2 linked regions of the Arabidopsis thaliana genome follow. The protein of the gene in region 2 interacts with the protein of the main gene of each other region in a biochemical or structural test. Each region holds a gene or a part of one and is shown on either strand. Other genes may lie near its edges.

The links.
Region 1: the proteins of GBF4 (region 2) and GBF2 form a complex in vitro, tested with the Arabidopsis thaliana proteins (one study listed by BioGRID).

Annotation. Positions count from the first base shown.
Region 1 is NC_003075.7:482,864-486,790, reverse strand, and holds the start of GBF2 (G-box binding factor 2), read left to right. Parts: upstream 1-2,266; 5' UTR 2,267-2,421; intron 2,422-2,792; 5' UTR 2,793-2,820; coding exon 2,821-2,886; intron 2,887-2,984; coding exon 2,985-3,032; intron 3,033-3,124; coding exon 3,125-3,220; intron 3,221-3,292; coding exon 3,293-3,373; intron 3,374-3,468; coding exon 3,469-3,510; intron 3,511-3,593; coding exon 3,594-3,757; intron 3,758-3,839; coding exon 3,840-3,888; intron 3,889-3,927. Other genes in the region: AT4G01130 (GDSL-like Lipase/Acylhydrolase superfamily protein), read right to left, coding at 1-74, 680-923. UniProt on the Arabidopsis thaliana protein: Binds to the G-box motif (5'-CCACGTGG-3') of the rbcS-1A gene promoter. G-box and G-box-like motifs are cis-acting elements defined in promoters of certain plant genes which are regulated by such diverse stimuli as light-induction or hormone control.
Region 2 is NC_003070.9:1,016,233-1,019,916, reverse strand, and holds GBF4 (G-box binding factor 4), read right to left. Parts: upstream 1,818-3,684; 5' UTR 1,681-1,817; coding exon 868-1,680; 3' UTR 670-867; downstream 1-669. Other genes in the region: PCS2 (phytochelatin synthase 2), read left to right, coding at 1-11, 138-313, 523-606; AT1G03960 (Calcium-binding EF hand family protein), read right to left, coding at 2,445-2,585, 2,734-2,859, 2,966-3,122, 3,468-3,577. UniProt on the Arabidopsis thaliana protein: Binds to the G-box motif (5'-CCACGTGG-3') of the rbcS-1A gene promoter. G-box and G-box-like motifs are cis-acting elements defined in promoters of certain plant genes which are regulated by such diverse stimuli as light-induction or hormone control.

The sequences.
Region 1 (3,927 bases), on a different chromosome or scaffold from region 2:
GTTTGCGCCATGTCGAAAATCCGATCCAATAGATTGCAAATATGGGCTTAGGAAAGGCATTCCAAGAGATTTGGCTAAAATAATTTAACACTACGTTTAGCACTATAGTGATAATTTTTGGGTAATAACAGTAAGTATTATAGATTTTGTTTAAAATTTCAATCTAAAATCCTAATTATTAGACCTGGAAAAATAAATTGAACCGAACGTACAGAACCAAATCCGAAGAAATGAAAACCGAGTCGGTACCGAACCAAAATATTTTGAGTAACCGAAAATATCCGAAATATAATTATCTTTTCAAAAATATTAGTTATTTTTTGACTAAATAGTAAAAATACTTGAAAATATCCAAAAAAAATCAAAAAGAACCGAAATATCCGAAAATATTCAAAGCAAAATAACCGAATGGATACTAAATATTTAAACCGAAAGAACCGGAACCAAACCCAAATTTCAAAATAAGCGAATAGATATTAAACATTAGACCCAAACAGATACGAACTGAAACTGAATGGATAACTGAACGCTCGAACTACTAAGTATATCTTAAATATTTTTAAAAAATATTTTAATACTAAAGGATACAAAAAATTATACTTTGTAGAGGGGATTTGATACTGCTGTCATATTATACGTTTTTTGAAAATTTTGAGAGTATTTGTTAGTCATTTGTTACCTAGAAAATCAATGATAAGACGACCGTCTGAAGCACGACCGGCTGGTTTCTTGAAATAAGTCATTCCCCATGGACCAGATTGGGCAGGAAAAGCAGCCCAAAATCCGCCAGTGTCCGAATTCGAGTCTCCGAAGTTGAAAATTGCTTCGAAATCACATTTTGAATCACCTTTATGCCCATAAAGCATCACAATAATCAAGACTAGAAGAGAGAACGATCTTCTTCTGTTTATATCGGAAGCCATGTCTATCTCTGTGTGAACAAAATGTGTGTTTGTATGTGAGAGTGAGGATGAGATATTTGGTGCTATATGATTCTTGTAATCATCCCGTCCGTGACTCTCACTCTCATTGTACGTGTAATTAGTGTGTTATAGCCTTAATGGTTTTTTTAGTCCAACAATTCCCTTTAAGCCCAATAAAAGATAAATAAAGCCCAATCTATTATATTGATTCCAAGGGTTCAATATATATGAGATATGTCTAACAATACATCAAAAGACCAGTTTGAATAACAACACATCAATTTATGGATTGGATATGAATAAGATGTCATGTATGCAACAACCAAATTTGACATTTCTCTTGTAATGCCTTGCAATAAAAGTTATTTTGTTAACTTTTTGCAAAGTATGTGCCAATCAAGAACAGGATAAAAAGGTTGGGTCTAATAATTCAACTACGGCCCAATAATAACCCAATAAAGGAGGGTATTAACGTAAATTTATGTCTTGGACCGGGAGTCTAACTGCACGCGTCAAGTGGCTCCCACTAGAATTGGCATCAAGAACACGTCACCTTGACCTTGTCGGATTTGTCTGAAATTGAATTCATTCTTTTTTTAGTGACTCTCTTAAATTGGAATTAGATCTTCAGTCTAAATCTTAATGATTATAAGAAACAAGATTATATGCATCATTTCGGATTTAAACAACATGGATTAATCTCAACTAATTTAGCATTAAAGATAAGATTTTGTTAACCCTTTTTTATTGGGTGGATCCTACGTGGCGAAGATTGAGTCATCGTCTAAAATTTTAAAAAAGATTTCAAGAAAAAATTAAAAAATGAGCTGGCGTCGAATCCCACGTTGTCCGTAGGGACCACAACGGTATTCCTTATTCAGTGGGACACGTCAGCTTTATAAAACCACTAACGGCCGACACAAGTCAGTAGATCCTACAGTGGGGACCACTCTAACCTTTTTCTGGTTAAAAAAAGATATATTTTACCGTAGATGAAATCAATATTAGCCGTCGATTAAATGGTAAAAACAAATATGCTTGATTTGGTAGTCCACGTTTCGTCATCTGTGGATCTCAAATGAATTATACATTATAGTTTAATTCTGTATTTTCATTATTTAAAAGGAATAAAATCAGCAGCACGTCAAGTCTACGTAGAGATCTCAAGATGAACGGTGGCGATTATGACTACGTGTACCAATCATTATTTAAGTCAGATATTTAAAATGTCCAGCGCAGATCTAGGGTTGCCAGCTCAGCATATGCGTTCCCTTTGCAAACCCTTCAAGATCATGACACGTGTACGGTGACGTGTTCATCAGCCTCTTGGCGCTCCGTTGTGTCTCTCTTCTTTTTCTTCTCTTCTCCTTCCTCTCTCTTCTTTTACCGAACTCTGGTTCTAGAGAGAGAAACCATTCTCTCCGACTAAGAGAGAGAAGCGAATTTGTTTTTTTTTCTTTTGTGGGTTCAATTCGAATTGTTTTCCCTGAGACTCAAGGTACGTTTTTGGATTTTGGTTTTCGTTATTTTCTTCAATGAATATCTGAGTGATTATATATGAACGCTCTGTTTTCTCGAGAAAGTGTGTATTGAGTGAAGAAAATTACTAGGAAAGTTAAAGGTAGATTGAATTGTGTAACTCTACTAGTTGGTGATAGTTTTGAACTTTTGACAGAGGAAAAAACTCGACTTTGAATCTTTTACTGGTAGATTCAGTGGTGCTATACTTTATAGTTACTCGGATCTCTGTTATATTTATAGTTTGATGTCCACAATTGCGAGATCTAGGTGTAATTGAATACTGTTCTTTTAGATTTATGCTTTACAGAGGAACTGCTAAAAGATCTGATCATTTTTTTGTTTATAAAGTTACTGTGTCATTACTCTGCATTGAGCAATGGGTAGCAACGAAGAAGGAAACCCCACTAACAACTCTGATAAGCCATCGCAAGCTGCTGCTCCTGTAAGTAATGGAATCAATGGAAACTGATTGGTTTAGTAACAGATTTGTGTTTAGTCAAAGTTTGATTGTTGTTGTTGTTTTACTTTGTATATATACAGGAGCAGAGTAATGTTCATGTGTATCATCATGACTGGGCTGCTATGCAGGTGATTTTTCTTTGACCTTGTTTTGTTTCTGCTGTGTGAATTGTGTTTTATTAGCCTGAGTGATTTTAGCTTGTTTCTCATGATATTTGTAGGCATATTATGGGCCTAGAGTTGGTATACCTCAATATTACAACTCAAATTTGGCGCCTGGTCATGCTCCACCGCCTTATATGTGGGCGTCTCCATCGGTACTTATATTAAACTTGTTGAATGTATATCTGTTACTTTGGATTGAGTTTGATCTTTCTTTGTTGTTGTAGCCAATGATGGCTCCTTATGGAGCACCATATCCACCATTTTGCCCTCCTGGTGGAGTTTATGCTCATCCTGGTGTTCAAATGGTAATCCTCCCTTCCTTTTAGTGGTTACTTTATATCAACAAATAGTTGAAAAGACCAGATTTACTGATTTGTGTTTTCCTACTTTACTTTACCAGGGCTCACAACCACAAGGTCCTGTTTCTCAATCAGCATCTGGAGTAAGTCAATTGTCTTGTGATGTTTCTGTGTGAAATGTGCAGTATGATGGATATTGGATATGAATGTATGAGAATGTTTGCAGGTTACAACCCCTTTGACCATTGATGCACCAGCTAATTCAGCTGGAAACTCAGATCATGGGTTCATGAAAAAGCTGAAAGAGTTCGATGGACTTGCAATGTCAATAAGCAATAACAAAGTTGGGAGTGCTGAACATAGCAGCAGTGAACATAGGAGTTCTCAGAGGTTTGTCAAACTAGCCTCAACTCTTTCTTATTCAATAGATACTTAGATATATAGAATCTAACGTGGTTTTGATATCAACTAGCTCCGAGAATGATGGCTCTAGCAATGGTAGTGATGGTAATACAACTGGGGTATGGACTCGTCCTCTCTGCTCTGAACTAGGTTTAGAT
Region 2 (3,684 bases):
ATGTATCAAAGGTATGTTTGTTCTTACATTCTGGTTATCTTTCTAAGCGCTTCAGAAACCTTGGCTTGAAGTTAGTAGTGTGCAAAGTTCTAATCAAGAAATCACTTTTTTCTTTGAATTTCTTGTTTTACATCAAGGTCTTGGTGAGGAGAAAGTGACAGTGGTAGCTTACCCATCCGGGAACGATGTGTTCACTGCTCTTCTGTTGGCTTTACCTCCACAGACGTGGTCAGGTATCAAAGACCAGTCACTTTTGCAAGAAATGAAACAGCTCATTTCCATGGTTAGCCACCCGACTTTGCTTCAACAAGAGGTACATAACTAAGCCAACTCTTCACTTGGAGTCTGAGTTATATATCTTCTAATTCTTAGGATAAGAAACAGAAATGAAACTCAGTTATATAGTCTGAGGATTACCTTCTGAAGCTGACTCTTTTTTAAGGCTGAACTCCAGAATCCATTAGATGAGAAATATGTAGTAAAGTCAGCTAAGTTAAATCGTTTTCCTTTGGTGGGTTACAGGTTTTGCATCTACGACGCCAACTTGAGATGCTAAAACGATGCCAGGAGAATAAAGAAGACGAAGAACTCTCTGCTCCTGCCTAATCAAACACAACCAACCACTTTCTAATTTGAATCGACCAACAAAATTGTTAGGGAGAAAAAGAATTTATCCCATCTAGTCTGGTCCATAGATATCTTATAAATCAGCAAAAAGCTATGTATTATCCATTACATCCCTTAGATACATTACAGGTAACTAAGTACTAACCATATCACCATCACTTTACTATATAGATTATAATATAGTAATCAAGCCCATATGTTTTTATTTTTTTTACATACAAAAGTTTTTTTTACCACACTTCACCATTCCAAGGAATGGCTCCTGCTTAAGGGCCTCGACGGTGGCCTTGGTTTCTCATCGACCGGAATCAGAACCTCCATGAGCTTCTTGTATCTCTCTTTAGTGCTCTCTTCAATCTCCTTCAAAAGCTGCTCATTCTCCTCCTCTAACTTGGCAGCCAAAGTCTCTAACTCAACCTGATAAGCCTGTTTCCTCTCTCGAGACCTAGCAGCGGATTCACGGTTCTTGATCATCCTCTTCTGTCTCTGAGCTGCAGCTTTATCCATTGCCTCCATCATCACTCTCCCTCTCTTTCCTCTCGTTACTCCTCCACCCATTGATCCTTCAACCATCTGGAACGAACTGTGTCGCTGCATCGGAAAATCAAATGTATAGCTACCGTCGTTGTTGAGTCTCTCCGTTGGAATCTTCACATCGATTTCATCTGAAGCTCCCTCGTCCATTTCTGCTTTCGCTAAGAAATCCTCAAGTGTCATTATATCTTCTGGTTCTTCTTCCTTCATCATGATCGTCTTTTGCTCTCCAGATACAATCTCTTTCCAAACATCGTCAACACTCTTTCCGTTGTTAACGCTGTTCCGATCTCCGATACTCCGATCAACATCAATCGCCATCTCGAAGGGCTTTGAATCAGACGCGAAAGTGTAATCGTTGACTCCTCCGCCGTAAGCGAAACTGATTCTGGAGTGATCGGCGTGAGGATTTGGTCGGAGATGGTGCGATGATCTTATAGAAGGGGAAGATGAAGCAGAAGAAGAATTACGGCGAGACAAGTCGGAATTGGAAGAAGACATCAACTTGAAGGACGCCATTTCCGGAGCTCACTGGAATTGGAACGAATTTTTATCTATCTGGGTTTTGTCAAAGAGAAAGAACAATCGGAAATGGTGGATTTTCTTCGAACCAGAGATCGAGAGAGATCTTTCTAGGGTTATCTCTAGTGTTTTGCAATGTAACCACGCGCTTACTCTCTATATACAAGTTTAATTAACTAATCACGCGCACATTAAACGCGTGACTTGCACCTTCTATCAACTATACTATAAGGAGATGTTTTTTCTTTTCTTTTTAATTAAGAAAAAAGATTTACTATTCAGATTTCTTTCTCTTTTTTTTTTTATGAAAAAGATATCAGTGCAACTAAAGAGATTTACAATTCAGATTTCTTTCTGAAAATATATTCGTGTGACAGTAAAGACTAAAAGAGTTTAACAATTCAGATTTATGAGTACATTCTGAGTTGGACAATCCAACTGGTTATATGGACACTAGATGATGTAGAGGGAGAGAGGGCCCAACTTGATATAATCTTTATAATGAAACCAAAACAAAATTGCAAAAATTTCATGAATTTGGCTGAGACTCTTTTGGAAATGATGATGAAAGCGTCTGGTAACAACCAACAGTGACCTCCAATCTCTGATCATGGATCTCTCTCCAGGGAAAACCTCAAATCATAAGTCTCCTTATTTGGTTGGTTTCTGTAGTCAAGATCGGCTTTCGACTCAATAAATCACAGAATTTTATAAGCATTTGCATTTCCTATACACAAGCAGTGTGAACTTACCACTATGGACTAAAATGGAGGTTCGAGTGGTTCATCCCAGACATCTGCACTCCCATTTGAGACTTCATCTACATCTTCCTCCATTGACAATCTCGCATACTCTCTCTGAGCAAATCGATCCCACTCTGTCAAATTTGGATCTTCCCGTTCCTACAGCAATGAAAGAGAATTATACTTGTTCTAATTGCCTCAATCCGAACTACTACAAACTGCCTTTAGCAGTTAAAAGAAGTCATATTCTTTGTTATTTTTTTCCCTCTTGAGTGCTATAAAAACTCCACTGGTAAGCCAAACTTACCTGGCGAATGAGAAATGGGTCACGTGTTTCAAATGCCATGAACTTATTAAGGTTGAAGAGTATATTGAAAACGTTTGCTGAAAGTTTCGATCCTTTCAGATCCTGGAGGGTGATACAGTTCTCCTTCTGCAAGGACATCCACCATATAGATGATTCCAGTCAAATAAATGATAAATAACAAAAAAGCTCGGAAAAATCAAACAACCATGTTCTGGTTTGTAAAGTAACTAACCTCGGGTCCAATCATGTCAATTATTTGACATAGGATATCACTGAAAAGAACAGCTTCCTGGGTTATGCATTCCATGCGATGCAGCTGCTCTTCGAAGAAAAACTGCATTTCGTTTGAAGTGATTACCCCATTTCCATCCAAGTCTACGCATTTGAACCTGCACGGAAAATTTCAATCAGTGTCAAGTAAAATACACGGACTTGCAAAAATATTGAGTTTTGACATCCATAATAGATAGATGAGCATACTAGGCTATAAACTAGTATCAGATTGTTAGATTGTTAGTGCCCGAGTATAAACAAGGATCCTATGTTCATGAAAAAATGGTACCATACAATGATTACTAAATATATCTGAGGAAGAGGACTTGTTACAAGTAACAAGTCCTCAAGTCACTGGTTTTGACTCCGTTGTAGTATATATATCAAGATCTTGTGATCTAAACCAAGGGGCAACATTCATTAAGGAAAACCAATATCAACACGGAGGGGGAGATGTGTACCAATACTCAAGACTAGGCTCGGAAGACTTGTCTTCCTCAGCGAGAATGAAGTACACAAAATCTTCATAACTCATCTTCCCTTCAACTTTACTCGTAAACTTCCTTGGAATCTAAAAGAGAAACATAGCCACAAGACGCATGGAGATCAAATAAAAAGGATCACATCATACTATATAACTTAGCTTTTAAGAAGGTCTAGGCAGGAACAATTTTGGGA